Lepisosteus oculatus: one gene and its partners. The protein of the gene in region 3 interacts with the protein of the main gene of each other region in a pairwise test. Links are inferred from orthologs where the notes say so. Each region holds a gene or a part of one and is shown on either strand. Other genes may lie near its edges. The genes, in order: morn4, shfl and ssx2ipa.

What was found.
Region 1: the proteins of ssx2ipa (region 3) and morn4 interact in binary tests that used the Homo sapiens proteins (3 or more experiments, as listed by UniProt). The two-hybrid records come from large-scale screens. The link is inferred for Lepisosteus oculatus from reciprocal best matches to the Homo sapiens genes SSX2IP and MORN4.
Region 2: the proteins of ssx2ipa (region 3) and shfl interact in binary tests that used the Homo sapiens proteins (3 or more experiments, as listed by UniProt). The two-hybrid records come from large-scale screens. The link is inferred for Lepisosteus oculatus from reciprocal best matches to the Homo sapiens genes SSX2IP and SHFL.

What each region holds. Positions count from the first base shown.
Region 1 is NC_090699.1:44,156,022-44,166,830, reverse strand, and holds the start of morn4 (MORN repeat-containing protein 4), read left to right. Parts: upstream 1-5,626; 5' UTR 5,627-5,735; intron 5,736-5,963; exon of another isoform or gene 5,964-6,449; intron 6,450-7,363; 5' UTR 7,364-7,375; coding exon 7,376-7,442; intron 7,443-10,809. Other genes in the region: lcor (streptococcal hemagglutinin), read right to left, coding at 1,538-1,634. UniProt on the Homo sapiens protein: Plays a role in promoting axonal degeneration following neuronal injury by toxic insult or trauma.
Region 2 is NC_090706.1:14,467,527-14,478,642, reverse strand, and holds the start of shfl (shiftless antiviral inhibitor of ribosomal frameshifting protein homolog), read left to right. Parts: upstream 1-5,925; 5' UTR 5,926-6,126; coding exon 6,127-6,159; intron 6,160-6,546; exon of another isoform or gene 6,547-6,651; intron 6,652-6,694; exon of another isoform or gene 6,695-7,694; intron 7,695-7,773; coding exon 7,774-7,909; intron 7,910-8,686; coding exon 8,687-8,736; intron 8,737-9,064; coding exon 9,065-9,148; intron 9,149-10,193; coding exon 10,194-10,238; intron 10,239-11,116. Other genes in the region: retinol dehydrogenase 8, read right to left, coding at 1-166, 454-637, 845-938, 1,564-1,743, 2,183-2,344, 2,497-2,593.
Region 3 is NC_090704.1:172,074-182,609, reverse strand, and holds the start of ssx2ipa (synovial sarcoma, X breakpoint 2 interacting protein a), read left to right. Parts: upstream 1-5,899; 5' UTR 5,900-6,097; intron 6,098-8,844; 5' UTR 8,845-8,922; coding exon 8,923-8,962; intron 8,963-9,464; coding exon 9,465-9,631; intron 9,632-9,970; coding exon 9,971-10,174; intron 10,175-10,463; coding exon 10,464-10,536. UniProt on the Homo sapiens protein: Belongs to an adhesion system, which plays a role in the organization of homotypic, interneuronal and heterotypic cell-cell adherens junctions (AJs).

The DNA of each region.
Region 1 (10,809 bases), on a different chromosome or scaffold from region 3:
CCGGCAATTTCGGATAAGACGCGTCGAGTATAAATCGAGATGCATTCCACAGCAAACAACTGCGATAAGTGGATTGAATTACGAGAAAGTCACACATGCTCAGATGAAACAAAATTCAAAGGAGTACAAAATGTCAATTAAAACCGCTTAAGAACAGAGCTTCTACTGTCTCATCTCGCAAGCAAATTGAAGTGCGTAACTGCAAAATCTGTTTAAAATCTCTCTTATAAACGCAATATTTTCGGCCGCTTAAAAAAAGTTGTCAAACGAACATTTAAGAATTTGTTTTACCACGTATTCTGTCAAACAAAACCCATGTCACGTCTAACGCCTCAGAACAAATACCGGCAAGTGAAAACAAGGCACCGATTTAACTAAGCAGGGAATATCGACTGTACCTACAGAGATAGGTTAGCAGGGAAAATGATTAATGCAGTTTGGACGAAGCGAGCCCTTTGGGATAAGAGATCACCGTGAAGTGAATCCTGATCTCCCAGTAACACCAAATATACCGATTTAAATGGATTAGCATCAAGAAACATTCGAAATGGGGGAGGGTAGCCCGGAGAAGGGCGACATTTCAAATGTGAACATTTGGAAGACAACCGAAATTTGACGTCTGTAAAATTACAGCACTGAACTAAAATATGCATTGCAAAAAAGCTTGTGGAATACTCCACAGATGTAACACATAAAGCCCCTGTGCATCAGAAAATAAGCAAAGGACTTCCAAAGAAATTAAGCAAAATGTTTAAAGAAGATAAAAATAAATATGCTGTATTACATTTAGAATATATATATATAATTGTAACTACTGACCAAGACATTTTCAGCAAGCTACTGCACGTGTCGCGCGAACTTAAAACGTCTAGTGCGCCTGACCTTTAAATATAATTTAACCGACATCTTCCCCGGCTTGCCAAAATATAAAATACAGCAAATTTTTCTGAGCGATTCCCCCCATTGCAGCAATGCGCGCCCCCGGGGCCGACTCGAGGGCAGCCAGGGAGCGCGCGGCACCGACCTCAGCAGCAGAACCCGGGGCTGCCGGGAGCGCGCGCCTCCCCCTCCCCCCACAGAAGAAAACAAGAAAAAACGCAGAGGAGCACGCGCCCGGGAGCCCCGATCTCATTGGCTTAAAGGAAGCAGCGCCGTTCACGTGATACACCCTCCGTAAAATAAACAGGAAAACAAAGCCTGATATATCTTTGTTACCTAGCAATAAAGAGATAGATAATATAACCAGGGAGCAAACGAATTCTGCCTACAGGACGCCCCGTACCGTACGGACACTTCCACTATATAGGCAGTATAACGCATTTCACAGCCAGAATCTGGCGACCGGAACGGAGGGAGGCAGGCTCTCTTGACGGAAGAGCTGCACTAGACAAAAAAAAAAGCCGCTCCGTGCTGCTCCCGACGGTTAGAAACAGAATTTTTTTGCGTTGGGACTACGAGAGAAACAAAGTATATTTTTCCAAACCCCGGAGTCCCGGGCGCCGCGTCCGGTCCTGCATGCAATGTGAAACGAGCTTACCTACACAGTGAATAAGTTTATGCCGCCACGAGTCAAGTTCCTGCCGAAAGCCGCGTCTCTCGAGCGTGCATTGCTGCCTCTTACACAGACTCGCCATTTTCTACCGGCCCCACCCGCCGCCGCGCACGTTTTGCTGGGTGCGTCCCAGCGTGCACGTCATCGCCACGGCCCTTTTTTGTGTGTGTGCTGTGTCTAGGGGTGGAGTTTTCTGCTGCGGCATCTTCTACTCGCCTCCGCCGCCCCCCAAAAAATAAAAGCTTAATATTCTTGATGGATGAAAAGTGACGCGTGATTAAAACTGGAAGGCAGCCCATATTCCCGGCCTTGCACGCGTGCGCGTAATTTAATTAAGGGGATCCCTGTCCCGTCGGAGGAGATTCTGGGACACTGTCAAGGGCAATTACAATGTAGCGGTGCGAGTGTTACTTGAATTTGATGAGACCGCATTGTGGTCATTTTTAATAGATTAATTCCTCAAGCCCGAATTTGGCTTTTAGGAAACTCATGTTATATTTTTATGGCTCTCCATAAATTACTACAATCGTAACTTTAATAAAGTACTACTGTACGAATTTCATTCAACCCATTGCCGCTTACTAAACAGCGCATTTTCAATATAACGGAGCGCTTTAAATCAAAACCCTCTACACTCTATAAACTGTATTAGATGGGAGTTAAAGTGAAAAACTTTCATATATAAGGAATCCTTATATATGAACATCGGATAAAACGGCAGTGCAAAAAGATTAAGTATCCTGATTAATGAAAATGCACCATGGGTACTAAACTTGGCGACGTAAAATCTACACACATATAGAATTGAACTATATTAACATTAACAAAAACTGTGGGTTGAAGACAGTTTCCATGATGTCTTGCTAGAGGTTTATTGGAGGAAAAGGTTCATACACTAAACTGCCTATCAAAATTAATTCATTACTTATTTCTATTTGTTTTTAGACAAACTTAATGTTTTTGCACCATTTTGATTAATAGATCACTCGATCTTGATATGCTAGAGTGACATCTACTGTTGCATGAGCACTGAATCACCTCATTAGTGGGCATTGAACAGGCATAAAGGTGGCTTAACTTGTTGAATGTCAAGTCCAGTGAAACTCAAGAACAGAGATGTCAAAAGGAACTAATATTCTGAATTTAAGAGATTAATGCCTTCATGCCATCAGTATGCTAGAGACTGGACTAAGTCACCTGAGGTGGACTTGACAGGGGTGATACATGTGTAGAACAATGCGCAACCTTTTATTGTCAATGGGCTGATGGTTTGGTTCAAGTGTGATGGTCTGGGTTGGAAACTCCTTTCCCTACAGATCTCCACTTGTAGCAATGGAATGCAACCTGTTCACAGGGAACTTCATGACCTCACTGCCTTCTCTCATGCAGCTGATGTGACAAAGTCCAGCACGATAATATTCTCTTTGTCAAACAACAGCTTCCTTGCAAGACGAGCCACAACAAGGATACCCTAGTCGTTAGACTTGGGACTTATTGAGCAGCTGTGGGATGAGCTGACATGAGGCATCTAGGACTCAGAGATCAGTGAACAGACACCTGCTTGTCCAGACTGTAGGAGAGGAAAGGGACAGAGTCCTATAAGACAGCATCTGTAACCTAGTGTGTCATATGTGCTTTAGATATACACCCTGTATTGCTTCCAGCAGTGTGCACACATGCTACCAGCCTGTGACTTTCACAGTAAACCCATTGATGACAAATATGAATCTTCCACTGCAATGTCTGTTTTAAAACATGTCAGTACAGTTGTTAAAAAAGATTTCCCTGATAATGTAAGATTTGCTTCTTACTATGCCCTTTGCAATATCTACACCTCATTTTGATCCCTGTGCAGCAGTACAGTTGTGCTTCTTGGATCTCAGTTTATTTTGAGATCACCCTTGCTATTATAAGCAAAAACAGCCTGTGAAAAAAACTTTTGATGTTTGTAAACCAAGACCACAGAAAGAACAGGCGATGGACTTTAGAGCATTGAACAACACACATTTATCTCCCTTTCAACCTAACTCAATCTAGTGGTCTAAATGCATATATTTTACTAAAAAACACTATTCGGCTTTGTAATACTTTGTAAGTATTACAAAGGCCACACACTCACAGCCCACTCAGTATTGATGGAACGGAAGTGGAAACAGTCACCAGCTTTAGGTTTTTGGGAATTCACATCTCTAAAGATCTAACCTGGACTGTGAACACTGACTCTATCATGAAGAAGGCTCAGCAGCGCCTTTATTTCTTGAGGCGCCTCAAGCGATGGGGGATGCCAATACATGTGTTGGTGAACTTCTACCGCTGCACTATCGAGAGCGTCCTCACCAACGGGATCACCGTGTGGTATGGCAACACCTCTTCGCGAGAAAGAAAGGCACTGCAGAGAATGGTCAATATGGCCCAGAAGATCATCGGCTGCGGTCTCACCGAGATTAAACAGCTCTATGAGGACCGCTGCCGTGGTAGAATTCTGGCCATCACAGAGGACAGTCACCACCCTGGGCATGAGCTCTTCACCCCACTGCCCTCAGGCAAGAGATATAAGAGCATACGGACACTTACCACTAGATTCTTCAATAGCTTCTATCCACAAGCAGTGAGACTGGCGAACACATTTAGCCATCCCCCTCGGACCACACCCATCACCATCTACCTCATTGTAATTTATTTATTGTACGTCTCCAGTCATTGTTTACACGTCTGTATTGTTTACATTCAAACTGCCTGCATGTTTACTTGCACATTGTCTATTGTTTGTTTGTACATTGTCTTGATGCACTGTTTGCACTTGTTTTGTTTTTTTACACTTGTTTTACAATCGAGAGACTTTCTGTAAGTAAGAATTCCATTGTACCAGTACCGGTTACATATGGCAATAAAGTTCAAGTTCAAGTTCAAGTTTAAGTAAGACCCATTCAGCACATTAAGTCATGAAGTAAATGATAAGTGAAATGTACAAGGAAATTCAGTATATCTATTTGGTGTTTCATTTTAAATTTATATTAAAATAAAAATCAGACAGCATGTGCAGGAGTGGTTAGGGATCCAGGCTCATAACTGCAAGGTTCTGATTTCAGATTCCAGGTAGGGCACTGCATTTGCATTGAAAATCTCTTCCAGGCACAGGTAACTCCCAGCTATCTAATACAGTACAGTATGTCACTCTTTGCTATGCATCCAAGTAGCGCGTTTGCCTTTGACCGCTTCTGTGCTTTGCCTACTGTAAATACCAAAGCTACAATTCTGCAATCTTCTCCTTGCGGATTTACTACGTCTGTGCGACCCACAGTATAATTCTCCCATACTTTACCGTTTGCTTTACTTTATGGCTGTATGCAACCCTTCACACGTCCATATATCATTCGAAGATCTGAAGTAGTTCAAGTGATAAAAGCTTGGGTGCTACCGCGGTTGTAATGTAGGTGCATCTTGATGAGATAGAAGACATTTATTGTATTCACTCCTGCGGAAGCAGAGAGGCGGTGAGTCCTGACCTTTGTGGAGCAGCTAGATTACAAACTAACTACATCTGTAAGGCAGAAGAAATCGGGGTATGCAGAAATCGAAAGTACTCATTTCGTCACTAAAAAAAAGACATCTGTAGATGAAAATACATCCGACTCTGTGCTAAATTCATACAGCATACTGAATGAATTTAGTTAATTTAATATATATATATACCTGAAACGTTTTCAGAGAACCTTGCAAAACTGCCATACGCCAACTGAATGTTTAGCGGTTGCTTAACCTGAATGAAAATAAAGAAATATCTAATCACTAGATAGATATATAAAGTTTCACAACGTAATTAAAAACGAATCCCATAATTAATGCCTCTGCGCAAAAGCCACGACCAAACATATCCCTATTAATTAAATCCACAGGCACGGCTGTGTGATGCCCCTAACAAAAATGTCAGCTATCAGACCTCAGAAGGAAACAATCCAGCCAATCAGGATTCGCTTTAAATGCAAAGTAACGCAAAACGGACAATGGGACAGTGAGACTTTAGGAAGAGCGTGAAGCCTCGCCGCTAGAGGGGGCGGGGTCAGGAGAGCCTAATTTTCGTCACAGGGTGTACTGTATAGCAGTTATATTGCACCATTGCCTGAATTGTAAATATAAAATTGGTGGATTTATGTGCTTCTGAAGTCCCAAGATCATAAAACAGGTAAATAATTTGTTTATCTTATCACGCAGTAACGACGGTCAGTTGGATCATCTTGCAGCTGTGTGTTTAAATTTGCTGAAGTAGTTTATTAGTACTGTTACTGTAAGTGATATGCCGGCGACACGTAGGGAAATGACTTTGTTGCGTTACTGTGGTAACATTTCAAGGGATATACAACAAAAACGTGCACTGAATGCCAGGAGTAACCATTTCGTATACGGAGGTTATTAAGTCTGGAGCTGTCAGTATCTTTTAACCAACAATAATAGCACTATAGACGAAAGAACAGCTATTCACCTGCTTAAATAATTTATTCCATTATGCCTACATTGCTTCGGCTTTACATCACTCGATTTCTCTATTCATTTGACTGAGCTGTGCTTCTCATGCAAAATGGGGTGCAGTATAATTTGCGCTCGATTTAATGGTGAAATCAACATGAACAGTCCCGAGTCACGGTTTAAAGTTGAAATAAGAAGGCATCGCATCCTTCATGACCGAGACTAGTTTATTCTTATTGCTCTTATTTTAATCTGTAACGTTCCTTAACAAGAACGCAATTGCAGCAGCGCAGCTCCGCTACCCACAGAAGCGCTCTGGGAGTTGTTTCACAGACCTGATCTTTGACCGCTTGGAAGACTTCAGAGACAAAGCAGCCGTCAGGAAGCAGCATCAGAGTCATCGGAGGAAAACCTGTTCCTATGTTCTTCTCTGGTCTGTAACAGCAAAAGATTAATGGTACCCAATACAGTACCAGCGTGAAAATATGTTTGTTTTCCTCTCACACAGAGTTTGTTTTAAGGCACTGATGTGTATATGGATGAGACAGTGGTACCGGTTTGTGACAGACATTAAGGTACTGACAATTGTGATTCTCTGAGGCTGGTACTGTATGTTTAATCTTCTGGCCCCTCAGGGAGTTAAAATTATTCCTTCCTAGAGTTCTCCCTGCATGGTCCTTAGTACTTTTGTCACCATCTTAGTGAAACTGTACTGGTTTCAAACAGTGCCACAATGACTCCCACTTCTCCCTCCTCAAGCAGCACAAATGTAGCGCAGACATGGTGTGGTGGTGGAGCAGTTTCATAGAGCTGTTGCCACCAGTGCTTTGAGTTCCTGTGTCCATTCTCTCAGGGGGCAGCCTTTTTAGACAGCAGCGTGGACTTGTGATTAGGGCTCCGGACTCCAGACTGGAGTGCTGCAGGTTTTGAACCCAAACAGGACACTGGTGTTATTCACTTGAATGAGGTGAATTGATCACATTGCTCGTGCAAGAGCCCCACTGCGTAAATGGATCACCGGCTCCTTATTATAGACGAGAGCGTCTCTTTTTTTTTACTTCTTTGGTTGAATAAAGGATTAAGGACTATCTCTTTTGATTTCTGCATGTGCAATTCCTAATATGCGTGTTAAAGAAAAAAACAAATGTGCAAAGTGATCTTTATTTTTAACATTCGTGCCCCCCCCTCCCCCACTAATGCCAGTGGCAGGACCTGTGAAAATATGATGTGTGGCCACTCAGAATTGAGAGCTCTGCTTCTAGTCTTTGAGGGGGTGAGCTGTTCTTTCTCTGGTCGTCGTGTCTCTGAGACTCAACCTCTTCTGCTGGCTGCTGTGTGCCCCCACAGGCAGTCTGCGACATGACCCTGACCAGAGGATCCTTCACCTACTCCAGCGGAGAGGAATATCACGGCGAGTGGAAAGAAGGCAGGTGGCTTTAAATGTTTTAGAAAGGCGGTCTAGGATGGGTGATGTCTTCGTCCTCCGTTTGAGGACAGAGGCTCCCGGGTCTGAACTGCAATTACTTCGCTTGGCCCATCCCTATGCTTTATCCATTCAGCCATTTTCGAACTGCTAAATCCAATCCAGGGTTTAGCCTGACCCCGCAAGACAGGCAGAGGACATCCTGCACCGCATGACAAATCGGCACAAGGCAGACACAGACACACACGCACACCAAGGTCAATTTCCACCCACCATTATGTCTTTGAACCACGGGAGGTAACCCATGGGGGAAAAAAAAACTCAAGAAGAACATGCAAACTCCACACAGATAGCAACATTATTAGAATTAGAAACCGGGGCTCTTGTGCTGGACTCTCTGTCATTCACACAGAGAAGAATAATTGGGTTCATTTGTGGTTGGCATGAAACCGAGCGTGGTCAAAACTGCTTAAAGAACATGTTCCTGAAGTTGAACGTAACTGCAGATCTTAGAGATTGCTAAGTAAAATGTGCTTTTTTTCTGTCAGATGGAAAACATTGCCCAAAAGCTTAAATAACGTACCCTAACAGAGCCTTCAAAGATAACAGCCTCTTGTTGGAAGCAGATACTTACATAACTCACAGTTTAAATCAGTCCTTACAATCATCTTTCTTCTAGCTTCAGTCAAGCTCCATCAGTCACTGTGCCTTCTCACCAGTCAAGGGTAATCTGCCCTTTATTCATAACAGAATAGGAACAGGCGCTCTGAGGCAGCCTTTACTTGTGTGTTTGTAAAAGCATCGTGTTTCCATTAGAACAAAGCTGGGGAGAAGTAAGTGCTTCATGTCATGAGTTTCTTTGTAACAGACAACACCTAACAAAGAGCACGTGCTCTTAAATGTTAGAAAATGCAGGCGACATGGAATTTGAATTTCCTGGCTGTCCAATGCAGCGTATGTTCTGATCTTTCCCAGATTTGTGCATGCTGCAGTGTTAGCTGTGGGTAGCAACTTAGTATTGTCTGTACTTAGTGTTCTTGCTTTCAAGGACAGGGACTGACAACAAAAGCTCCTTGAAATAAGCTAAATCCTAATTAGCTGGTAAACCTTGACGTCACACAACATGACTAACCTGATGTCACTGTGCAAGGGTTTCTGCAGGGACTGGAAAGGTTTCCAGAATCACTTCAGTCAGATTCTTCTGTGTAAAATGGTGTTATGACAGAAGATATAACTAATAAAAATAAAGTTACTTCTAAGAACACTTAATATTCACAAAATAATTTGATCTGGTTAAAATGTAGTAGATATAAGCTGCATTTTAACATTGGCCTCGGGATTAGTTCTTTAATATGAAATGCCCTTTTGATATTATTACATACTTGTTGTTTCTGGTGTTTATATTTTTAGTAGTATTAGGGATACATAGTTTGCTGTCAGTGTATGCATGTTGGAATCTATAGAGAGCAGCTAAGGACTTTAAGAAATCAGCCAGTTTCAAGATTTCAAGATTTCTTTATTTGCCATATACAAGTGTATTGGAATGCTTACTCATTCAGCTGTACCCAGTAACATTAGAGAAAGGGAAAAAAAATCACAAATGACGAACAGACATGGACAATAAATTCAGACAATAGACATTAAAATACAGCCAAGACAGGACATAGTGCAAAAAGTGCAGTACCTCACCTTGCTGGGATCAGGAAGATTGCCGCAAAGCTGAGCTGGTGTCCTGGATTGTATTGAAAACAGGCCCTTACATTCCTGACATTCCTTTCAGGAGCTGATTTTTGAGCTAAACAAAATCCCTTCTAAAGAGGTTTCAGATCAGGGAAAGGGTTACAATCCTAAATACTAACAGATGGTAAACCTAATTTAGCTAGGAGAGAATTTTTTTTTTACCATCAAGCCCCTCTCGCACAATGCTGTGTACAGGGATGTCTCTGTGTCAGCTTATCCTGTCAATCCATGTTACCTCTTACCTGAACACATACCTTTCAATCCACCATTGCTGGGATTCCCAGTCCTGGCCTCCGGGTTTTCGATCCAGCTGAGCTCCTTCCTTCATTGAACTAACGGGGGACTAGATTTGGAGCCCTGTAAATGTTTTTCTTTTTTCCCGTAGAGTTAGAGATGTTTAGTTCTGTACAAAAAGCAATAGGTACTGTAAATGGTAACCTCCAACATGTTTAAGAGTTGAGTTAAGAGAAGAGCTCATATTAATCCTATTTTTAGACCAGTTATGTTCAGTTATGTAACAGCAGGACTGGGTGCCCCCCCACCGTTAGAAAACTTGGTGAAAATGATGAGATTTGATTTGAGCAGGTGATTTTTTTTCCTGTTCATGACATTTGTAAGCGTTATAGAAAGGAAATGGCATCACTATAATTGCTTCTGACAAATGTGTGGAATAGGCTATATGATTTAAATGGAAAATTTGAAAACTAAAAGAAAATAACTGGGATGTACTTCCAGAATGGAAATATACAGGTACAGTTGAATGTTTCCTATCACAGTGTTTTTCTTGCTAAGTGGCAACATTTCCAGGTGCTGAAATATGATCAAAATATGAAGTTCCATTTTCTATGGATGGATGAAGTGTCAACCACCTGTCAGGTGGAAAGAGTTATCTGACTCAATTAGTAGATCTGCCAATGCGTCTGTTTCCAGGGTGCCAAATGTGTCACCCATGCAGCACAACCACAACGCAAAACATGAGCAGTGACAGTGGCAGTAGAGTAAGACCACTGTGGTTGACACCACATCACACATGATCATCTCTGATGAGTCAGATCACTCACAACAGACCTTTTAGATCAGCTGGGCATGCTAGAATATGACATCATGTGGGATTCGCATGAAGGGGGCAGGATTGCAACATATCGGCAGGTGAATTGATCTTTGCATCTCTCAAGTTCAAGTGTATTACAAAGACGGTGTCATCAACCATCATATTGAGCTCTGTTCCACTGTGGGGGTAGATTGAGTTTTCCAAGTTGACAGCACAGTGCCCATCCTTACCATTACTGGCCATCTCCAGAGGAAGAATATACAGCTCACACTTGCCTTGACAAAACCCCAGGACCTGTAACCCACAAGAAATGCAAAGGGACAGACTCGTCCAACACTGCCAAATGGCCCCATAGTACCTTCAGGACTTGGTTGTTTTTCTAACACAAGGATCCCTGCTGAGCTCACTCAGGTGATCTGTGCCAGGTTTGTCTTGTTGCTAAGAAAGGACCACACCATTACTAGTGTCTTGAGTGGTATTACTCTTCACCCTCATGTGAGCACTTTCGACTTAGGATGGCTATTGATTGATCGTTTCCAGATGTTGCAAACCTGTGATAGTGTACCTGCAACATCTCTC
Region 2 (11,116 bases), on a different chromosome or scaffold from region 3:
GGCTGGCGCTGAAGACGCGGTCGTGCTTGAAGACCATCTTGAAGAAGGCGTCCAGGGGCAGGCGCCCGCTGGGGTCGGCGTGCTTCAGCGTCGTCAGGGGGGTGTAGAGGCGGTTGGTCTGCAGCCGGAAGGGGGGGCTGTCGGCCGTGATCACCTGGAATGTTTGCTGCGATGGGAAAAAAATTGGAAAGCAAAAGCGGGGGTTATAGGCCGAGGAGACTGGAACCGCACTGGGCAGGCCAGTGACCCGCACGAGGAATATTTTTATTCCCAGAAGCCAATCAAGCGGTCAGTTAAAAGCCCCTAGATGGACAAGCACCACTCTCAGACTGCGGCACGATGGGGCAGGACTTGCCCAGCCTTCAGAGTGGGCCCATGTGTGCAAACCCGCCGCGCTGAAGGTATTTCCCTCTGTATGAGACCTAGGGGCAGCTCCTCAGCCGACTGCGCTACCTCTGCGATCTCCTCGGGGGTCTGCCCCAGCGCGGCGAAGATCTTCCGCGAGTACGGGAGGTAGACCTGCCGGAATATCCTGGCCGTCTCCTCGTCGGTGCCCGCCAGGTCCATGCCGTCCGCTTCCTCGTAGACCTTCTTCTCGAACTCCGTGATGACCGGCCCGGGCTCGATCAGGCTCATCCTGGGAAGGGGAGAGGGGGGGAAGAGGGAGGACCATTCGCTCACGCCAACTCCAAGCACAGGCGGTACCACCACCCCGGGCTGAGGAGCCTTATCCTTCTCGACCAGACGCCAGCAAACCTTAACTAGATTCCCGTGTGGGCGATCTGTGGAATGCTCTGGAATCCAGGAAAGCTCTGGGGTTGGAGAGCAGAGGCCCCGCACTCACCTGATGTTGAATTTGAGGGCCTGCACCGCCAGGCTCTCGCAGAAACCCTCCACCGCGAACTTGGAGGCGGAGTAAACGTCGTTGAAGAGAAGACCTGGGGCCCCCGGGGGAAGATGGGTTCGGATGAGAGGATAAGAAAGAGAGACGAGGAGAGAAAATTAGCTGTGCCCCTGGAGGGCTGCAGGAAGTCACAGGGCAGTTCCCAGACAGCTGATGTTGAATCTTCCGAAAAGGCCTCTTCTGAAGGAATACCAGTCACATGAAAATGGATCTTCCCCTTTTGTGCTCTGAATACTCTCATTCTCAAAGGCCTTTTATCGTCTGTGTATGGCCCTAGTGTTTCCCCAGGTTTCAAGGCAAGCACATCCATTTCATCACAGTATGCAAATGGGCCCACATGCCAGTCATACAATGCATAGCCTGGTGGGAAAAGCACCAAGGCAGCAGACCGGCTACACTGGTTACAGCCATAGTCAAGCTACAGGTCATGCCTGCCTGGGTTCTCCAGCATCAAGCTCTACAAGCTCATCAAGGTTAGCCCGAGGACCAACTTCCCTGTTGTGGAAATAATGGGCGCAGGCCACTGAGTGTTTCCCCACGAGTCCACTAGGGGGCGAATTCCTAATATTTTCACCCATGAGAAGGTAAATGTCAATTTCCTACCAATTATATGAAAGAAGCATGGACCCGCCCCCCCCTTTCCACCCCCAGCTGCCCACCCTGGATGCCCATGACGCTGCTCATCACCACGATGTGCCCGTCCTGACGCCTCTTCATGTCCGGCAGCACCTCCCTCACCAGGCGCGCCAGCCCGAAGAAGTTGGTGTCGAACAGCCGCTGCATGGCGCCGATGCTCTGGCACTCCAGCGGGCCGATCATGCCCACGCCCGCGTTGTTCACTGAGGAGAGACGCCAAGATGCCAGGGCGGCACGCACACGCACAGTAGGAGGAAATGATCGTATATCCTGTTTCAACACCACTCTGCAGGCCCGCGGGGCAAGAAGTGGTTCTACAAACTCATCACAGTGTGCCAGTCACTTCTGACTTTTTTCTCGGCTTTTTTATGTGAGAGACGCACCTCTGTGCTTCTGGAATGAAACGTACTGTAGGAAAACCGTCATTCCTGACAAGAGTTTAAACCAGTTAGGGGCTAGCGTTTACAGCTGCAGGGGACGGGGTTCCCAGAGCCCTGCTCCAGGCCAGCACACTGCTGCAGCTGTGGATCCTGAAGAATTACATTAAGACAAAGCAGATGGCATATTTCTTGCTTTTGAGCTCAACAACTTCTGCCTGGCACAAGGCCCACGTAAGGCTGTGCGCCTGTAAGTCTGTCTCACCCAGGATGTCCACCTGGCGGGAGGGGATGCTGTCCACACAGCTCCTGATGGAGTCCTCGCTGCAGGCGTCCAGCTCCTTGATCTCCAGGGTCCGGTTCAGGGCGCTCCCTGCCGCCTGCTCCAGCGGGCCTCTGCGGTCCAGATCCCTCATGGTGGCCACCACTGCCAGACGGGGGACTATGCATCAGCAAAGGCCTCCCTTACACAACTTTTACCCCCATAGCTTTTTTTTTACTGTGTGTTATTCCATGTGTAGGAATACAGCTTCTATACCGTCAGACAATAATGATCATGATACTTGAGGTGCCTCTGACCTTTGAACCTCTTCAGCTCATCCTTGGCCAGACGTACGGCCACAGCTAGCCCAATCCCCGAGGAGCAGCCTGTTACCAGCACGGTCTTGCATGCCATGGCGCCGCCCTGCTGGATGCCTATGCTACAACAGGTAAAAACACATGCCCTTTTTTTTTGTCATGATATAAATGGAAACCACGTGCTTATCAATGTTAAGTAGGCCAGGCCCCGTAAGAAAGGTATGACTTTTTTAGCACAGCACACATGATCTCGGTACAGTTCTTACTTCTAGACTCACTTGATCACTGCACATTTATCTCCAGCAACTCAACAACAATAGCTAATAAATACTGCCTATGCAGGAGTACTGTACCTCCAGCTGTAGGGAGACATTTATAATGCAATCAAGGATAATGCTAAAAATAAAGGCTGGTACAAAAAACCTTTGGTATGCAGATCACACTGATGAAAACTAACAAGCTAAAGTCCAAAACGCGTGCAGTGTGTGCAGTGCCTGTCACCGTCACATACTCACTGGGACTGCAACCCCTGTTCCTGCTTCCTCTGCAGGGTCTGGTCCGGGAAAGGAAGCTACCGGCTATCAGCGCCCCTCCTCATCCTCCAGAAAAGCAGGAGTCTCTTCCTGGAGAGCCCGGGACGGACAGCGTGCCCCCTGTGACCGGGTCACGGGGAATCGAACTGTCCAGGGAAACACAGGGCTCTATTGAGTTTCCTCCCTGTCACATGCGCACACACACACACGGACCAGTGGAGCAGCCTGATCTGGCACTAAGCCTTTAATCCTCTTTGTCCCGTCGCAGCATGGCGCGACGGAGATCCCTATGGTTACCCAGAAGGTCTTTAACCCTTTCAGGGAAGGCTGGCCTTACCGGCTCGTCTCCCGCCCTGAGGCCCGGCAACACAACTCTTAATTCCTTCCGTGAAAAGGAAGCGCTTTGTCTGCAGTGGCCTCACATTCATTAGTCACCCCCCCTTCTCCCCTTCCTGGAGGTGCCCATCGGCCCCATGAATTCTCAGCCTCCTACCAGTGGCAGCTCAGGGGAGCTGTGTGCAGGAGCTGCTGCAGTAAGAAGATGCAGAAATGGCTTTGCACACGCAGCACGCGTGTCAGGAATTCACTGTCATGGGTTTCTGTAGAGTCGCTATTGCAGAACTACCCAAGACCTGCGTTTCAGCTTCATAACACGGTTTCACCGACGTGTGTGCAGTACAGGTACCCTCTGCGAAGCAGTGTCTGTGCTCTCGTGTTGCTGCAGAGGCACACACAGAGTGGGGAGGGACACTGTGCAGCCCCAGCCCAGTGACTTAATGCCCAATCAGTCAATCAGTCCTGGAGCGACATCTTGTCACAGAGCACTGATTCCGATTTCTATCGCATTTGAAAATATACAGGTTGGCCCCCCCCTCCTCCAGGCTGCCGGCTTGTGGCACCTTGAGCCATCGGAAAGCAGGGGCAATCCCTGGATGTCAGGGGCTGGGATCCTGCTTCTCGGCCGACCTGGAGACCTCTGGCCCAGTGACGTGAGTCAGGGGGTCAGCTGCGTCAGCAGGGCACCCAGGAGAGTGTGAGGGAGCAGGGAAGGCCGAGCTGGCGCCCCCCGCGCTTCAGAGGGATCGCTGCCGCTCCGGGGAGGAGGCACGCTTGGCGCGGCGGGGGAAACGAAATTACCTGAAATCGCTCACCACCCGGAGCGCCGATCTCCTCAGCCGGGGTTCGACTGCCCCTACCTGGAAGACACCCGCAAAGTCGTCACTTAACAGTTCAGCTGCAGGGAACTGCAGACGCTGCTTGGTCAGGTGTGTGTGTGTGTCTGTGTGTGGCTTAAGGTACAGTTTGGGTGGGAAAGAGGGCAAAATACAATGAGCATCTTCTTTTCACCAACTTGCACACGACTCAGGCACACCAGCGTGTCTTTATCTGCGATTGGGAAAACACTGAAGACATTCTGGACTTGTTGCAGCATAATCACAAAGTATTCGATATTATTGAGTTTCCTCCTTGACGCAGGATCGTGAAACGCGTTATTAAATCTTTATTTCAACATCGTATTTCAAAAACTCTCACATCCCTCTGGAAGCAGTCCTTTTTCCCTCATCCCAATAAAGACGTTAAGTAGCAGTAAAGCTGGCGTCCATATTGATTGCTGAAGCAAATTAGAAGCCGCTAATAGGCGTCAACGAAAATAACAGTGAATAACAGTACTGCCCTTACAGCGTCTATCACACTGGCAGATCATTTAAAATACAGATCATTCTGTTAGCTGTACAAGATGCCTCGTTACAACCTGGAGTCCTGGCGTAAAATAACAAGAGTTAATCTAGGTAACGCTGTATTTTTGTATTGCGGTATTACAGATTGTTTCAACAGGGAATAAACTCTGGGACTGCTAAACTAAACGGTGGTACGCATTTACTGTAATACACACGCACAGTACCCATAATTCAGGTAAATTACCTAGGTTTTAACAAATTACACCTCCGTTTACAGAGATCTAAAACTGCAGGGGCTTAAACACAATTTCACCCACCCCCACTCAAAAAAGAGAGATGCTGCTGCACTGTAAGCGCCGTTGTAACTGAGCTCGCCACAGCCAGTTCGCGTAAAAGAAGAATTTTGCCAGAACAGCAAAGTCTTTACTTCCAACCTGCGTTCTGCAAGCTCACCAGAAACCGTCCATCGCTGATCGTTTATGCAAAAACTTTCCCCGTTTTGCGCTACAGAAGTTTACACGTCTGTACCCACATCGACAGCGCATCACCAGACTGGTCCTGGCTACTGTATGAACACATCAAGGCTGGCCGGAGGGTGGAGGGTGGAGAGGGGGGCTCCGAGCGAGGGCGGAGGAAACGCCGTGGGTCGCTCGGCGCGGTGCTTTCTGGGGATTGTAGTTTAATCGGTTGCGACTTCTCTCTTTTTTTACGGCTTTGTGCAGGTTTGCTTTCATTATTTCATTAATCGGGAGCTCGTTTTGTTAAAATAAAAATTCTGCGGTCCATAGTTTAGAATGACTACAAGTAAAAGTTCAAATATTGAACGTACTTTTGTAATTAAATTAGAACTCAGGGATCCGATATTTTATAAAAAAATCAGTTATAAATAAATGTCACAGTACAAATGCCAGGGTCAAGACATGAACCTGAGATGTTTACGTAGGATACAACTCCACGTTTTACCTACAGCCACGACTGGGCTTTTAAAAACTTTCTTTAAACAGAAAGACGGCGGTGTGCAGAGTCAGCATTGCGCTGTTTGCTGAGATGAAAGCACCAGAGTCGCATGGCCTCTGTAAACAGAAGAAAAAAAAAGTTAGACCCGAGCAGTCTTTGCTTTAGTCTTTACTTCGCTCGTACGAGGGAGGTATGTGGTTCGAGCTGACAGTTCATGCACGGTCCTGGCGAAATGGCGCCGCCTAGTGGCGGTAGCCGCGCTTGCGCCAGCGAGCAGTGTGAAACCGAAAGTAGGTGTGAAGGAGACGCTCGGGGCTGCAGGGCAGCGGCCGCTTCTGCAGGAGCAGGAACGCGAGCGAGTGCAAACGCAGGCCCAGCTGTTAATCGTAGCAACACCAGTCCGCAGCTGCTGCAGTGCGGCCGTGCGCGTCCGCCACACACAGTCGGCTTCAACCCGAGCCATGGCTCGCAGGCTTCAGGATGAGGTGGTGGAGGTAGGGCAGTTGGAACAATTATTTTTCCGCTTTGCTGTTCATGATTTCTTCTGCTGCATTGTGGTTTTTTTATTATTATTTCGTGGTTTGCGGACCAGTGCTTCTCGACGGCGCTTCCCGCGGTTACTTAAACCCACAGCGCAGTTCAACGGCTTATTCTGCGACTAAACTTCGGGTTTTGCCACAGCGCCACCCCTCCTGCTTGCTCGGGGGGAATCGGCGCCTGGCTGACTCCGGCAGCGTCGGCTTTCTAACCGGATACGATTGGTGTCTGTTAGGCACGTTTTTACGGAAAAAGGCTGGGAGGCCACGGTGTAACTTCACTTTGAACTCGTATAGTTCCCGTCCCCCGTTTTTTATTAAACGTAAAAAAAAACTTCTCCCCACCTGTCTCTATCTGGTGTAAGACCGTCAGTCTACCGATCTGTGCGACTGTCTGTTATTTCCAAACCTGTCTCTCGGTCCGTCTAGGTTTTAGAGGAGGCTGAAAAGCGGTGACACGCAAAGAAAAAAAACACTTGTCCGAACTTCATACCGAAGTGTCACATCGTTAAACCGCCCCTCTCAGTCCATCTCCAGAGGCGCACACGCACTGACCCCAGTTCGGGTCACCGCGCTTGTGGGCGCACGTCAGATACCCCGGGCGCCTGTCTGTTACGAGGACTGTATCCCTCGGGCTGAGCTGCACAGGGAATAGGCAGGCCGGACACCCCGGCAGGGCCCGGGTCTGTCGCCTGGCAACACCGGCACCCCTGGACGGCTGTAGTGTAGTCATGGCTACTGTAGGTCTCCCTGGGGGGTGGGGGTAAGGAAATGACCCTCCACCTTTTATTTTTTGCTTTTTTTTCTTTTGCTGTTGCAAGCGGTGTGGAGTGCACTGGGGGAGAGAGGCGAGAGGTGGCCGGTAGCTGAGACACGGTTGTCCGGGTTTTTCCTTTGCGTTTGCGTTTTCAAAGTGTGCTGGCAAAGGTGTCCTTATGAAGCCCTGCCCTGCCAAAATGGGAGGTGTTAGCCTGGGGGTCAGTGTCCCGGACGTCTGAGAAACAGGCACCGTCCCTGTGTGGTGTCCGCGCGGACACAGACTCCTGGCGCACAGCAGTTTGACCCATTTCAGGATTCACCAGCTCTGAGGGTATGATTGGATGTGGGGATGTTGATATTGGTAACTCCTCGTCTTTGTGCGCCGTTCCCCTCCAAGTAAGGCAGCTGTGGACATCCAGCAGGCAGGAGCTGGTAAAACCTGGACTGGACCAGGGCTGCCGTGACTCGGGTCCCCACAGGCTGAGCACCGCCTCCGTTAGGTACTTGTTAAGCTTGTCAGTGTGTGGATGGAAGGAGCGGAGTCTGTCTCTGCAGGAGTCACAGTCGGGTCCCGGGACAGAGCGCCACCGCCGCAGTGTCTGTAGAGCGAGCGACTCCACTGCAGGAAGAGGAGAGTTCATGAAGTAACAGTCCCAGCTTCCTCCTCTCTTTCCCTCGCTCCTCACTTATCTCACTCTGCCTCTCTCTCCTGCCTCCTCGCTCCTCCTCTCACCTCTCTCCTGTCTCCTCCTGTCTGCTCCTCTCTCTGACTCCCCGGAGTGACTCTGTGTGTTCCTCCTTGTCCACCTCAAGCTGGAGAAGAGTGTCCGGCGCCTGCGAGAGCAGTTCTACGGCAAGGTCTCTATCGAGGTTGCCACGGTGCTGATGCGTCGCTATGGTAACAACCACCAGCTGGTCGCCATGGATATCATCCTGATGAAGGACAGAGGTTAGGTGACAGTGTGGCTGAAGGAGGTGGCGGGGGGGGGGGGGGGGTTTACCTGTGACACATTGGGTTTTTCAACACAAGCAGCTCGCATTCCCTACACCAGGGGGCGCACAGCTCTGGTCTTGGAGGGTCACCGGTCCTTCTTGGCTTAGCTGGATGAGGTGAACGTCTCCCCCCAAGTGACCAGCAAGACCTCCAGGACCAGAATCCCACTCCACCTGCCCTACACGGTCGCCCCCAATCGTGACCCGCTGTAGCGAAGCTTGGTGACTCCGGCCCCTGCAGTGGTGCACATGATGAGTCCGCCCTGGGAGAGGCCCACATGCAGCAAAAAGATCTGAGACGCACAGGAAGACGGCGTGAAAATCCGAGAATGTGCCGTGCTGGTGACCTGTCGCCAGCAAGGGTGGTTGAGAAAGCCAGCGAATCGCCCGCCCTGAGACGGAAGGCACAGGGATTTGGTTTTGCAGTGGAATTGCACACTGTAAAGTCAGGCTTTTTAGTTCCTGGCCTTCCTTTCCCTCAAAACAAGAGTACTGGTCCCCCCTGGTGGCAGACAGGAGAGATGAGGTCACAGGGATTGTGGCGGGTCCGCACAGGCAGTCGCTGGAGCCGCTGGCGGTGCAGCTGGATCCAGGGGGCTGTGGCCTGGGAGCTGGCGTGGGCGTGGTGCTCCCGGCCCGCCGGGTCTGCTGGCCCCCTAGGTCTGGCCAGGGCCTCTGTGTGCGGTCAGCCGGGTGGACGGGCAGCTCATCATGGTCTCTCCCTTCTGCGCAGGGCTGGACGAAGAGGACATGATGTGCTTGAAGAGAGACGCGGTGGTCAGGGTAAAGCTCCTTCCCAGAGTGCACTGGGGCTGCCTGGAGGAAGGGAGGGGGGAGAGTAGAAGCATGGAGGGGCAGGACAGGGGTAGAGAGAGGGAGGAAAGGGGCAAGAGAGGACACGGAAAAAATAGAGAAGGAAGAAGGGGAATGCTGGTGTTCAGCAGAGCTGAAACGTGTGTGTGTGTGTGTGTGTGGGGGGGGTTACTGTTTCACTGTAGACGACCTCCTGCTCTGTGGGCCGGCGTCAGTCTGGCCCGAGGGCCGTGCCTGTGTCCGCTCTCACGTCCCTCTGTTTTCTACCCCCTGCCTGTGTGCGCCCGTCCCGTTTCAGAACGTTGTTCAGAAGCTCCAGGCAGAAGAGCAGTCCCAGGAGCTCGCCCCAGGCCCGGCCCCAGCCCCGCCCAGGGGCCCGCAGGTACGCTGGCGGCCCTGCAGGGTCACGCTGCGGTTGCACAATACGCGAGATGAACAAAGAGGCTTTATCTACTCGCTTTAGAGAAACAAAGCGGCTGTTGTTGGTCCTGTTCCAGTATCATGCAGTGGCACACAAGGGCAGGGACACTTCTGGTGTTGGTGGAGAGCAGGGACAGAAAAACATGAAGGGGTGTACCCTGGCTGCTTGAATCAGCTTCTTTTCATGGAGCGAGTATCTGGCTTCCCAGAACTTTATTTACAAGGGCAGTCAAGGGTAGAGCTGCAGACGTGTAACTGGTGGTCTGTGGGTTTGAGTCCCCATAGCAGCACCCTAGAGGGAGGTACTGTACCCCCTTTTGCTGCTGTCAACCCATTAGTATGAAAAGTAACCAGCGTGGCCGGAGGGGAACCCTGCGAGAGATTAGCATCCTCCAGGTCCATCCATCCTCTGGTCCAGGGGCCAGTCTCACTTAATGCTGCAGAAGCCGGGGTGACCTCTGACCTCTCTCTAGGCTGGAGCATGGTATTTTCTGCTATTTTACTGACCAGATACAGTCCTATCAGTCTAGATTTCAGTGAAACAACAGACGCACTGATCCATGACAAATGAGCTCTAGCACAAGGGATTCATGTCCTCAACCATCCTGGAAGCAGACTGAACATGTGGGAGAAAATCAGTGGGAATAAAATCTGAAGTGTAGAACAATCCTGCAGACTTTCGTAAATGCCATACCAGGGATGCAGTTACTGTTATGACACTTTTATTTAGTGTAATCTGGAAGGCGTTTCATGCAGTCTGGAGGCGTATCAATTGACATTATCTCTCAGCCTGAAACCAATGCATATTAAAGACCTGCGCAATACTCCACCTGTGAGGACCGTGCTCCTGGCATGAGTCTGATGTGGTGGAGATATACAGTATGTGGGCTAGTCCTGATGTTCCTGCAGCACAGCTGTGTTACATTACCGGAAAGGTGACGCTGTGCAGGATGTGGCAACAGGTCCTTGGCAATGGACCTCCGTGTGGTTAATCTGTTTCTCTCCAGCAGATCGCCCAGAAGAGAACTCCCGTCGACGATGGTGATATTAAGGTAAGGACTGGCTTTACTATTTTTGTAAGAGTTTAGGGACTGGGATACGAGTGCACGTTAATCACTCATTGGAACAGTATTAGCGCACACATCACTTATTGGAAGAGTATCAGTGCACACATTAACCTGTCATTGGAACAGTATTAGCACACACATTAATCACTCATTGGAACAGTATTAGCACACACATTAATCACTCATTGGAACAGTATTAGTGTGCACATTAATCACTCATTGGAACAGTATTAGTGTGCACATTTATCACTCTTTGGAACAGTATTAGTGCACACATTACTCATTGGAACAGTTTTAGCGCACACATTAATCACTCATTGGAACAGTATTAGTGCGCATATTAATCACTCATTGGAACAGTATTAGTGCACACATTAATCACTCATTGGAACAGTATTAGTGCATACATTCATCACTCATTGGAACAGTATTAGTGCACACATTAATCACTCATTGGAACAGTATTAGTGCACACATTAATCACTCTTTGGAACAGTATTAGTGCACACATTAATCACTCATTGGAACAGTATTAGTGCACACATTAATCACTCATTGGAACAGTATTAGTGCACACATTAATCACTCTTTGGAACAGTATTAGTGCACACATTAATCACTCATTGTAACAGTATTAGTGTGCACATTTATCACTCTTTGGAACAGTATTGGTGCGCATATTAATCACTCATTGGAACAGTATTAGTGCACACATTAATCACTCATTTGAACAGTATTAGTGCACACATTAATCACTCATTGTAACAGTATTAGTGTGCACATTTATCACTCTTTGGAACAGTATTAGTGCACACATTACTCATTGGAACAGTTTTAGCGCACACATTAATCATTGGAACAGT
Region 3 (10,536 bases):
GTACAGTACTGAGTAGAGTGCAATATCAGTTGTGCAAAAAGTTGATGGCTGTGATGACATTTTCCATTTAACAGATAAGCTCTGAAGAGATATCCAGATGTACAATCAAGACTGAGCAGTTCTGATTGTAATGGATACTCCATTCTAAGACAGCAGCTCTGGAGCGAGAGAAGCTGATTCTGTAGTTAGTTTTTCAACACTAGCCTTGATATAATACTGTATACTACCTAATCCCGGCTGCATCAAGATCTACCATATCATCCTGGTGTGTATTTAAACTAAACTCAATTTTTAGTTCAATCATGGACTCTAGGTGGTAACTGCTGCCCTCTAAGTCAGACTTTGAAGATACAACCTAGAATGACAGCTTGAGTTTCCTGGAACATTAAATATAATCTATTCTTTGAATAGTATTTTTAATAAAGAAATCCATTGTTGCATATCTACTTTACATGAAAGCTTACTAGAAACTGCTCTATCCACAAAAACAAGGCCCTTCCAAAGAAGATATTCCAGATCCCATCTTAAAAAATAATGGGAAATGTTTTATATAGTTAAATCACTCTCAATGTTTTTAGCAAATGTAGTAGACATACTAGAGAAGACTGTGAAAAAGAAATTTACATCCTTGATGTTCACATTTGAACGAAAACAATAAAATGTGTTTGTTGTTTTTTCCTTTTTTTGTTCTGGATCTTTCTTTCTAATGTGTTTACAAAAACATATAAAAAATCTGAAAGTTCAAACTTCAAGACCCTAGGGGTCTTAGGGGATTCAAGACCCTAACCAGACCTGTGCTGTCTATACTTTCCAAGATAATTTAAAATTATAAAAAGGCACTTCCTTTCCAGGTGGACATTCCATTCGGGGGGAGGGTTTAGCCCAAGGAAGATTATAGGTACTTTAAGTCACAGAGGTCTGGAAAAAGAGAAACAGAACAGTATTTTTTACTTTTTACATACGAATGAATTAGCTTTGAAATGAACCCAATTGCTGTCCTAAATTTAAGCCACAAACTATTTGTAAAGATTAATCAAACAGGTTCTTTCCAATGATTTTTATGTTTGAAGAGTGCTGAATATTTTAACTAGTAAAGACATTTTACCATGGGAACAAACCTGCACCAGCTCCTCAGTGTCTTCCATGGTGACTTTAGCTGTGCTGTGCATATATTGCATTAAAGGATAACTGAGTGCTTGTATATGAGCATCAAAATATTTTACTTCTAACTGGAATAAATGATAAAATTATCAAGAAAATGACAAATAGTTATACTAGTTACTCTGACATTTTAATTAACAGAAAGGAAGTAAATTAATTGGTAATTGACTTTTGTTATTAACAGGGTTGATCAACAGTGAGTCTATTATGACAGACACATACTAGATGTATGTGTCACCACAGCTGGAAGGCAAACAAACTTTCTGTCTGTGACACATTCATCGCACCACTTCACAGGTGCTGTCTTGTTGGATTCTATCTTATTTCTCTTCTACAGGAGCCTTGTAGAACACAAAGTGTTCACTAGTCGTGAGGCCTAGAAGCCACATGTCATCTCAGTTCATCTCACAAACATCTGCAGGGCCTGAGTCTGGAGAACAGGGCATCAATGGCATCAATGTTACTTTCAAGTCACAAGAAATCCAGTTATGTGAGCAGCATGAGGACAAATGTTGTCCTGCTCATATATTGTCACTTTGGAATGATCCCATAGGAGGGGATGGAAGTGAAGTCCAAGGACTTGAACAATGTAGAGCATGGGTTGGCAAACTTTTTAGAGCAAGGGCCACTAAACATTTTTACTAACCTTGTTGGGCCATCTGAGTGATACTTGATAACTAGCTCGGGTAGCCGCCACATTTTCTTCTAATTTTCTCTTGAGCAATTTTTGCTTGCCTTAAAGCGACTTCTTCAACTGTTCTAATTTTTCCCTCCATTTACCTCCTGTGTATTCTGAAAACGTAGCCTGATGTTTTGTCTCTTAATGCTTTTTTATGTTGTATTCTTTAATCACGGCGATTGTTTCCTGACAGATAAGACATATTACCTTTTCTTTCCAAGGGACACACAAGTACTCTTCTGACAATTTTTCGTTGAACTTTCGACCATCTGCATTGATCTTTCTTTTTTTCAACATGGCAGGAATAACTTACAGTTAGCCTCTTGTCAGTTATAACTTTTAGAACTATTTAAAATAATTACCTGCTTTCAAACAAGATAACATACACTAGACGTCATTTGCGTGACTAAGCCAATCACAGTAGGCAACAAAAATCCAAATGTATTCACGATAAGAGTCAGTTGTAGCACAGGCTTACAGTACGTAACCTAGGCTAAAGCTGACGTCTGATAGGCTAAAAGTAAAATGCATTGTGCAATAGGTGTTGTTTTACAATTGACCATTAGTGCTGAGAGAGCAGCAGAGCTTACAAGTAGAGGCCACTGGCGAAAGATTTTCAATATCTGATGCAAAAAGTAACCTTTGAGATTCAAACAGTAGTGAGCTGCGGGCCACTCAGAAAAGTTAAGCGGGCCGGATTTGGCCCGTGGGCCATAGTTTGCTGACCCCTGATGTAGAGCCATGCAGTCAGGTTTCCACCAATCTCTACATGTAGAGTTCTGTAGTGACCCATCTTTTTTACCCAGACTATTGAAATCAGGCCTCTCTATTGACTGGTCTGTTGTACAAAACAATTACCAAGGATCATTCATCATATCCCCCTTATACACGCCTGTTTCCACCAGGGAGTAAAAAAAACGCGCTATGATATCTTGCAATTGCGATATTGTATCTCAGAATTACGAGTTTATATCTCACAATTGTGACTTAAAATCTCAGAATTACGACTTTATTTCTTGGAATTATGACTTGATATCTCACAATTGCAACTTGAAATGTCAGAATTATGACTTCATATCTCGCAATTGCATCTTTTTTTATGTCAGAATTTTGACTTTTTATCTCGCATTTGTGACTTTGAATAACCCACATTTCATTGTCTGTCCTTTTGTTATTGTAACGGATTCGGGTTCTAGGGCTTGTGCCCTCACCGCTTCTGCCTCACAGCACGGGCTCGAACCCAGGTCTTGCCAGCTGAGCTAAAGAAGACTTTCTTAAGCCCTGGCGGCCAGCATCCCTGTTATGCTCAGGGGAGGGCGGTGCCATCACCGCAGTGCAACCATATCGTACAACCTGTATGTCAGCCATTCCATTACACTATATTCATAAATCATACAGGATCATAGGATCTATAAATCTGAAGACTTGTCTTGTCAAGTGCCCTGACAAAAATCAAATTAATTACAGTAGTTTTGATGGAATCCCATTTCCGGCAGGGAGGCTTCCATAGTACCCAGATGGAATAGTGGACAGTCGGCTTTTTCTTAAGTCAGTGTTTTTATTTAAACACCATAAATACAAAAAAGGAGACAGAATATGAAAAAGAGTACAAAAATAGACACTTCACATCCAGAGGAATTCATAGTTATAAAAGCTGAAAATTATACTTTTTACATATTTCCATTGTAAGTCTTGCCTTTTGATTCTTTAAATTTCTAATAGAATTTAAGTAAAAAAGGAATTCCACTTTAAAAGTATTAATAAATGGAGCAGTATTAGAACATTTACTTTTGTGGATGAAGTATTTTTCCTAAATAATTAACAGATTAATTATAAAAACATTTATCCAAATCAGATCTAACAAAATATAAAACATCAAAATCTTTAAATTTAACATTTACCTTAAATGTTTAACAATAACATTTTGCAAATCTATCCAAAACAATTTTGTATATATGCAATTGATAAAATCCTTCTCATTATAACAAAATACACATCTTGTTTAAATCTAGAAAACGTCAATTTAAAAGGATAAAATCTATGAACCATCTTAAATGAAATTTCTTTAACTTTATTTGTAAGATGGTATCTTTCTTGGCTAGGGCTCTCTCCCCACGCACTGGGCCTCACACCGCTCCACTCCGTCCCTCTCTGACACCAATGTAACGACCTCGGGTTTCGGTACGGAATGGAGCAGGCATGGAACTCAGGGAATGGGGTTGAACCGGGGAAAGGTACACACACACACACGAAGGGAAGAGACTATCTTCCAGCCTCCGCCCTACTATATGCAGTTCTGTAGTCCCTGGCAAGTGTTGTCTATGTTACGAATGGTATAAATATATTCTTGTTTCGACCGTCACGGACCCTGCCCATTTCGTCCCGCAACACCTGGGGCGCGAACCCAGGCAACAGGGAACCAGCCGCTTGAGCTAAAGGAGACCTCCCCCAGCCCAGGCAGCTGAGGTCCCTGCTATGCGCAGGGAGGGCGGTGACGTCACCGTATCCGAACTAGCTCCGCTACAAAACGAGGCACAAGTTTTTCTTTCTTGATTTTCACTACACAGTACAGTACATGACATTCAAAAGGTGAAACTACCTTATGTCTCGTGCCCAAACAACTCTCGACAATGATTGACTCACATTTATTCTAATAGCAGACTACTTTAATGACATTGCTATTGTTGAGAGTCATCTATAAATTGTCTTTCTCTTTTTAGTAATTTTAAACCATGATTGTATGAAAAGAAACCTGCCTCTTATATAACACTAAAGCGTTTGAAAGCAAGTAGCTGGGTGTTCTGATCAGTTCATATATTCAATTCAGTTCAATTATTTTTGCTACTAGTAAGTATATGAATATGTTCATGTTGGCAGCTGCGTCAGCATGCGTTGTGCAAAGTAACAACAGGTTTATTCCCTGCTGAAAAGAGAAGCGAGAAAACATGTTTTGGCTGTGAACCCTTCTTCAGGTGAATATGACAGTTTATTTTGTTTCCAGTGATTTTTCCCACAATTAAAAAATTAATGTGGATTCTTTCAATATTACAATATAGTACTTAATGTTAATGTTAATGTTGCTTTATTAGCCCTATACATTTCTTGCATTAGGAATTCGTCTTTTCGCATACCCCAGCTTGCTCTCCATGAGACACAGACAGGGAGAGAAGCTGGGGGTCAGAGCGCAGGGTCAGCCATTGTACAGCGCCCCTGGAGCAGTTGGGGTTAAGGGCCTTGCTCAGGGGCCCAACGGAGTAGGATTCCTCTGCCGGCTGTGAAATTTGAACCGGCAACCTTCCAGTCACAAGCACAGATCCTTAGCCACAGTACTTAGTAATATTTTATCCTACCTTGAGTCCTAAAAAAAGACTTTGATTATCAAATTTCTTGTACTGCAATCAATAAAATATCGACAGCATTGTTATATGATAAAAAAACTGTTGTAAATAATAGCTTTTATAGCATGAATTGCCAAACTAAATGTGTATAAAATGCAAATTTAAGGGGTTAACATTTGAAGGTAATTTTTTTTGTTTTGTTTAAAGAGTAATTTATTGATGCTGATAATATTTCTTTGTGGTATTGTAGTATAAAATGCTGCAGAAAATGTAGCCGCCCATGTTTTGAAGTTATATAATAAAAGCGATTTCTCCTCAGGTACCGGAAGACGCGAGAATACAACTGGTTTTAGAGACGACGCATACAGTACATTGACGTAAATCATGGAAACAGAAAAAAAAAGTTTGCTCTGGGATCTAGTGTTAGTACCTAGTAAACTAAAACTGAGCAGAGTGCGTAAACGCAACCAAAACCCATGCATAACCTTCGATTGCCGTATAATGAAGAAATAAATATGAGAAAATGAAAAGCTGACTTCCAATAACCATCAAACAACGAACTGCATGGGTTTGCAAGGCTGGTCTGTTTTGCACCTGCTGATGCCTGTATGTCACGCCCACCGGTTTCTCAGGGACTGTAATTAAAGCCCAGGTGTCAGCCAATACTGTGAGCAGGTACTGGTTGCCTGGCAACAGGTTCGCCAATGACCGTAACGTTTGTTGGTGAGCCAGAGAGTCGGAAGCTTCAAACCTGCGCCTGTTGAGAGAGTGGGGGAGGTTGGTAGTATCAGCTGTTGGTGATCAAGAGATTAAAATATCCTACTTGGATGCTGGGGACTTGTCTGAAGTGGATTTATAGGTTTACTGTGTTCTGGAGAACGCCGGTGTCTTAGGAGAGGAGTTCATCTGGTGTTATGTAGTGAGTGTCTTTTCAGACCCCGTTTCTCTTCTGCAGCCCAATACGCAACTGAGCCTATAAGATAGCTGTGTGTTTATAATAATTTTGTAGTCAAGTGTTAAGGAGCATAATTCAATTGCTTAGGTTTTACTGCCTTCCGTGTTACGTATTTGATTTCGCTTCCTCAATGCATTTTATTTATGATTCCTTGGAATAAAAAATTTCTGAACTAGTTTATTTGTATGACTGGGACGTTAACGTGTTAAAAAAGCTAGGCTTTAGCTAATCCTCTGAATCAACAGAAAATCGACCAGCTCCGTACGGTCAGCATTTTTGTTTTCCAGTCCTGGTCAAGCCGTGGCAGTCCAGCGGCCCTGTGTCTTGACCGCTTTGACTTGTGAATTGTGGTCTAACCGGTTTCATGAACTGAAATTATGATAATTGTCAACTTTTAGAAATGTCTAACTACTATCACATTTAATCTTTTTATACATTTCTCTTTGTTTACGTTATACCCGAGCATGCTTTTTGTTTCTCGGTTTACACTGATTCTCACTTAATTTGAGCACATTTCTCAATCAGTTTTTGTTTTATGCGACTATATTGATGACTCCCATTGGTTTGTATTGCTGTATTTGGGAATATTTTTACTGGTGTCGTGACTAGACACTTTAATCATGTGAATCATGTAGTGCCGCTTTACTAAATGGTAGAAACCTTTTTTTCTTGCTATTGATAATTCTAAAAATATTTACATATTTTGTGTACTTTTTTTTCAGAAGGCTTCACAAGCTACCAGGGGCTTGGCAAGTCTGTTATTAACTCCCTGTTGTGATGGTACCATTTTTAATATTGGCATGTTGCCTGCTGCCGGTGAAACGGTAGAACATGTCCTTTGTTATGTATATGAAGTTTCTATCCACTGTGCTCACTCTGGTTCTGGTTTCTGAATTGTTCTTGACCCTTTCATATCAACTTGTGATAATGCATGAGAAGTACTTTTTTGCCCAACTACAGTTTGGGATGCATGACTTTTATATATTTGTCAGTAAATACTTTGTATAAATAATCGAGCTGTATGTTTTGCTTTTTATTACAGCTATAGGTGGTAGGATGCTAGATGGTGCCATCTTACACTTTATTTTGGAAAATAAAATGAACTAGACATCCACCCACCAGCTCACTTGCCTACCGCTGTATTGTTAGTAGGATAGAATCTATTTTAATTACATGCTAAGCGTAAAATACACTGTTCTAGTTATGGTGCATGTAGGAAAGCTGAAGTGGGGCACAGCAAATTGTTACTGGAAATTCTGGTAAGAGGAGGGACAAAAATCGAAAAGGAACTGTGCCTTTCACATTTCCCTACTTGAAAGGGTTTGAATAGAGTTAATTTTGTTGCCGTGTGCTGGGGGAAATATTGGTCCACTCTAAAAGTGATTTTGTCCTTTCTTTTGCTTTCATAAGAATCTTTGAATCATTGTGAAAGAAACAAATGGAGATCATTTGGTTAGAATTCAGATTTGTGTTCTGATTTTTATTACTAAAAACATTTTTACATCATTTTCAATTAAAATTGATAAATGTGGTAATGTATTCTTTGCAGTAAAAAGGCTATAAAGTAATGATGCAGGGTTAAGATTTTTATGATGACTTCTTTACTTTTCATAATATTCTCATTACAAACTAAAGTAGATGGGAGAGCCACGAATCTATGGTTGCGTCATGTCCAGTTGTAATGTTATCTACGATGTGTAACATGGTAAAACAACTTGCATTTTACAATGCTTCTCTCAGTTGTTTTGTTTTATTAGAGCAAGTGCCTCAATCTCTGTAGTATTTGGCAAATAAAAATATTACACTACTTGCAGAAGTGTGATCTAACTAGACATGTATTAGCTGCACAATGCTTATGAAGTAATTTTAAATTGCCAATGGCATTTAAAAAAAAATTGCAGAATTATTAAAAATTTGAATTATTTTTACTTCTAGCTTCAAGCTACATTTAACAATTTAAGAATATGTAGAAGAATTTTAATTCTGCCTCTTCTTGTAAATCAGTCATATATCACATTTTGTGTGCTGTCTTGCTAACGTACTGACAAAACAGGTTTGTGTTGACATTTTCTAGGTCATATTGCAATGTAAGGGATCCAGTTGGAGCAGGGCAAAGTGTTTTTTGCAAATGCTAGGCCATCTGTGCAGTGGATTAGTAGATAACGACGTAGGCACCCTAATATGATTTCCACTTGTAATGATGACCTCCTTGCTGTTTGAAAGCTTGATTACTCTGTGGTATACTCTTTGCTTTTGTGGATCTGGATAGTGTAGAGCTGGGATTCTGTGCAGGCATGGATGTGTTTTTAAATTGAAACCATGCGTAATGTGTTTGAAATTATAGGGCGGATGAAGTAGTTCAGCTTGTTTTGCAGAAAAAAAAACTTAATGGGCTTCTGTTAACGACAATTTCGACTTGCATGTAAATATTGATATAAATGGCAGACTTGACAGACATTTTATAATATTGCATAACCTTTTTGAGAATGTAATTCGCTTAATTTACATCACTAATTGTGATGTATTGGCTTAATATTTCATATACAGCAGCTGAGAATTTGATCTGTACGTGGCTTTTTGTTTAAGCTCTTAATGCTTGTACACAAAAACAGTGAAGTCATCTCCTTCAAAGCAGTGGTACTAGGCTGTTTTAATCCCCTATGTTTTAGATAGCTATACGTGATCTAACAGGCTCTATTTTTCTGTTTCAGGACTGTGATGTGTTGGAGCTGCCACTTGCCCTGTCTGCTGCACTGGATCAGCCTCAGGTGTTTTGGCCTTTAGTTGCTATGGGAGATTGGAGGACAGTAATGCCTGAGTCTTCACTGGGTAATTACTGCCATTCATAACAATTTGTATCTCCTTGAGCTGACAAACTGATTAGTTTATGTATAACCACTGGCATTATGTTCTTCTTTTTGGTGCTAACACCTGTATAAAAATGTACAATTAGCCTTTTTTTAAAATACTTGATAAAATGTATTATATAAATTTAATATAGGGGTTGGAAATTCATATAAGAAACTCATAACCTGTGATACACAAACAGAATGTTAAATGTAGTGTCAATATCAGTAGCAAGTGGTTGTTTCTTTTTAAAAAATCACAAGTAATTTTCTACATTAAACTGTTAACTGCTTATATCCATGGTGAATTTCATTATGAACAATACAGTTTAAAGTTAACAGTAGAAACCAGTATGAAAGGTTCAGAATTCAACATGACACAGAAAGCTCTTGCAATAAAAGAATACAGGGTTGCTCTGAGTGTAATTGTATAATTGAATAGACTAGGATGCCGGTGGTAATTTGTCATTGATTCTTTTCTCCAGGGAGCGCAGATGCATCTTTGTCTTCCTCTAGACCTGCAATGTCTCCCCTGGGGCTTGATATTCCCTCCTCGATACAGTGCTCTCTTCTGTCTAAGCACTCGTATAACATTTTAGGTGCTTTTTGTACAGAGGACAATGTTGCCCAGTGCATTTCATATGTTAATCAGGTAATTTATATTGTGCCTTAAATGAAAAAAATCTTCTGAACATCATTATGCTGACTTTGACAAATCACATACATGAGGGCTTAAAATGGCCTTACTAGAAATAATTAGAACGAGGTTTTAGTAGAACAAAATGCATTAGGCTACTAACTCATAGGTTACAAAAACAATGCCTTTGTCATTGTCAAATCTATTATGACAGATGTTTTTGACAGAGTGATAAAGACATACATTTACTGTACAATTGCGAGCTTGCATAAGTTGGTAAGATGGAGTTAGTTAGCACTACTGTTGCTCACCAGTCATGTGAATTTAAAATAACCATTGCTGCTCTCTTCATAGGAGCTTTCTTCACTTGGCTTTGCTGCTCTGTGCAGTGACTCCAATGGGAAGAGAGACCTGAGCTTGGTGACTGTGCTCAATGTTATGTATGAGCTGCTGCAGCTCCACCGCAGAGGACTTCGCTCCCTGGAGGACATGGAGACTGAGCAGCTGAAGTCCAGTAGTGACCTGGACCACCTCCATGTCAGCAACTCCCGTCTGAAGGTCCATCTTTAGAACTCCCCTTGATTTTACAACTTAGCCTGTTCTAAATCAGGATAGTGCATGTGCGACCAAACAAGGGTTTTTTAATGTCTGTAAGAAATAAGTCTAAGCTTAGTATCTTAAGGTTTAAGAATTCCAAAGTTAGAACCAGATCTTAGTGTATTGTAGTGGGAATTTCAAATGTGTTAATGCTGATTTTACTAATTTATGCATTTGTTCTTTTTATAATGTTAATATTTCAGATTGATTTATTATGTTTTGCATAATTCTTATTATTTGGTGTTCTTAGGATCAGCTTGAACAACTGAGAAGGGAAAATACAGCACTACATGAGAGAGAACGTCAGATGCAATTGAAAATCA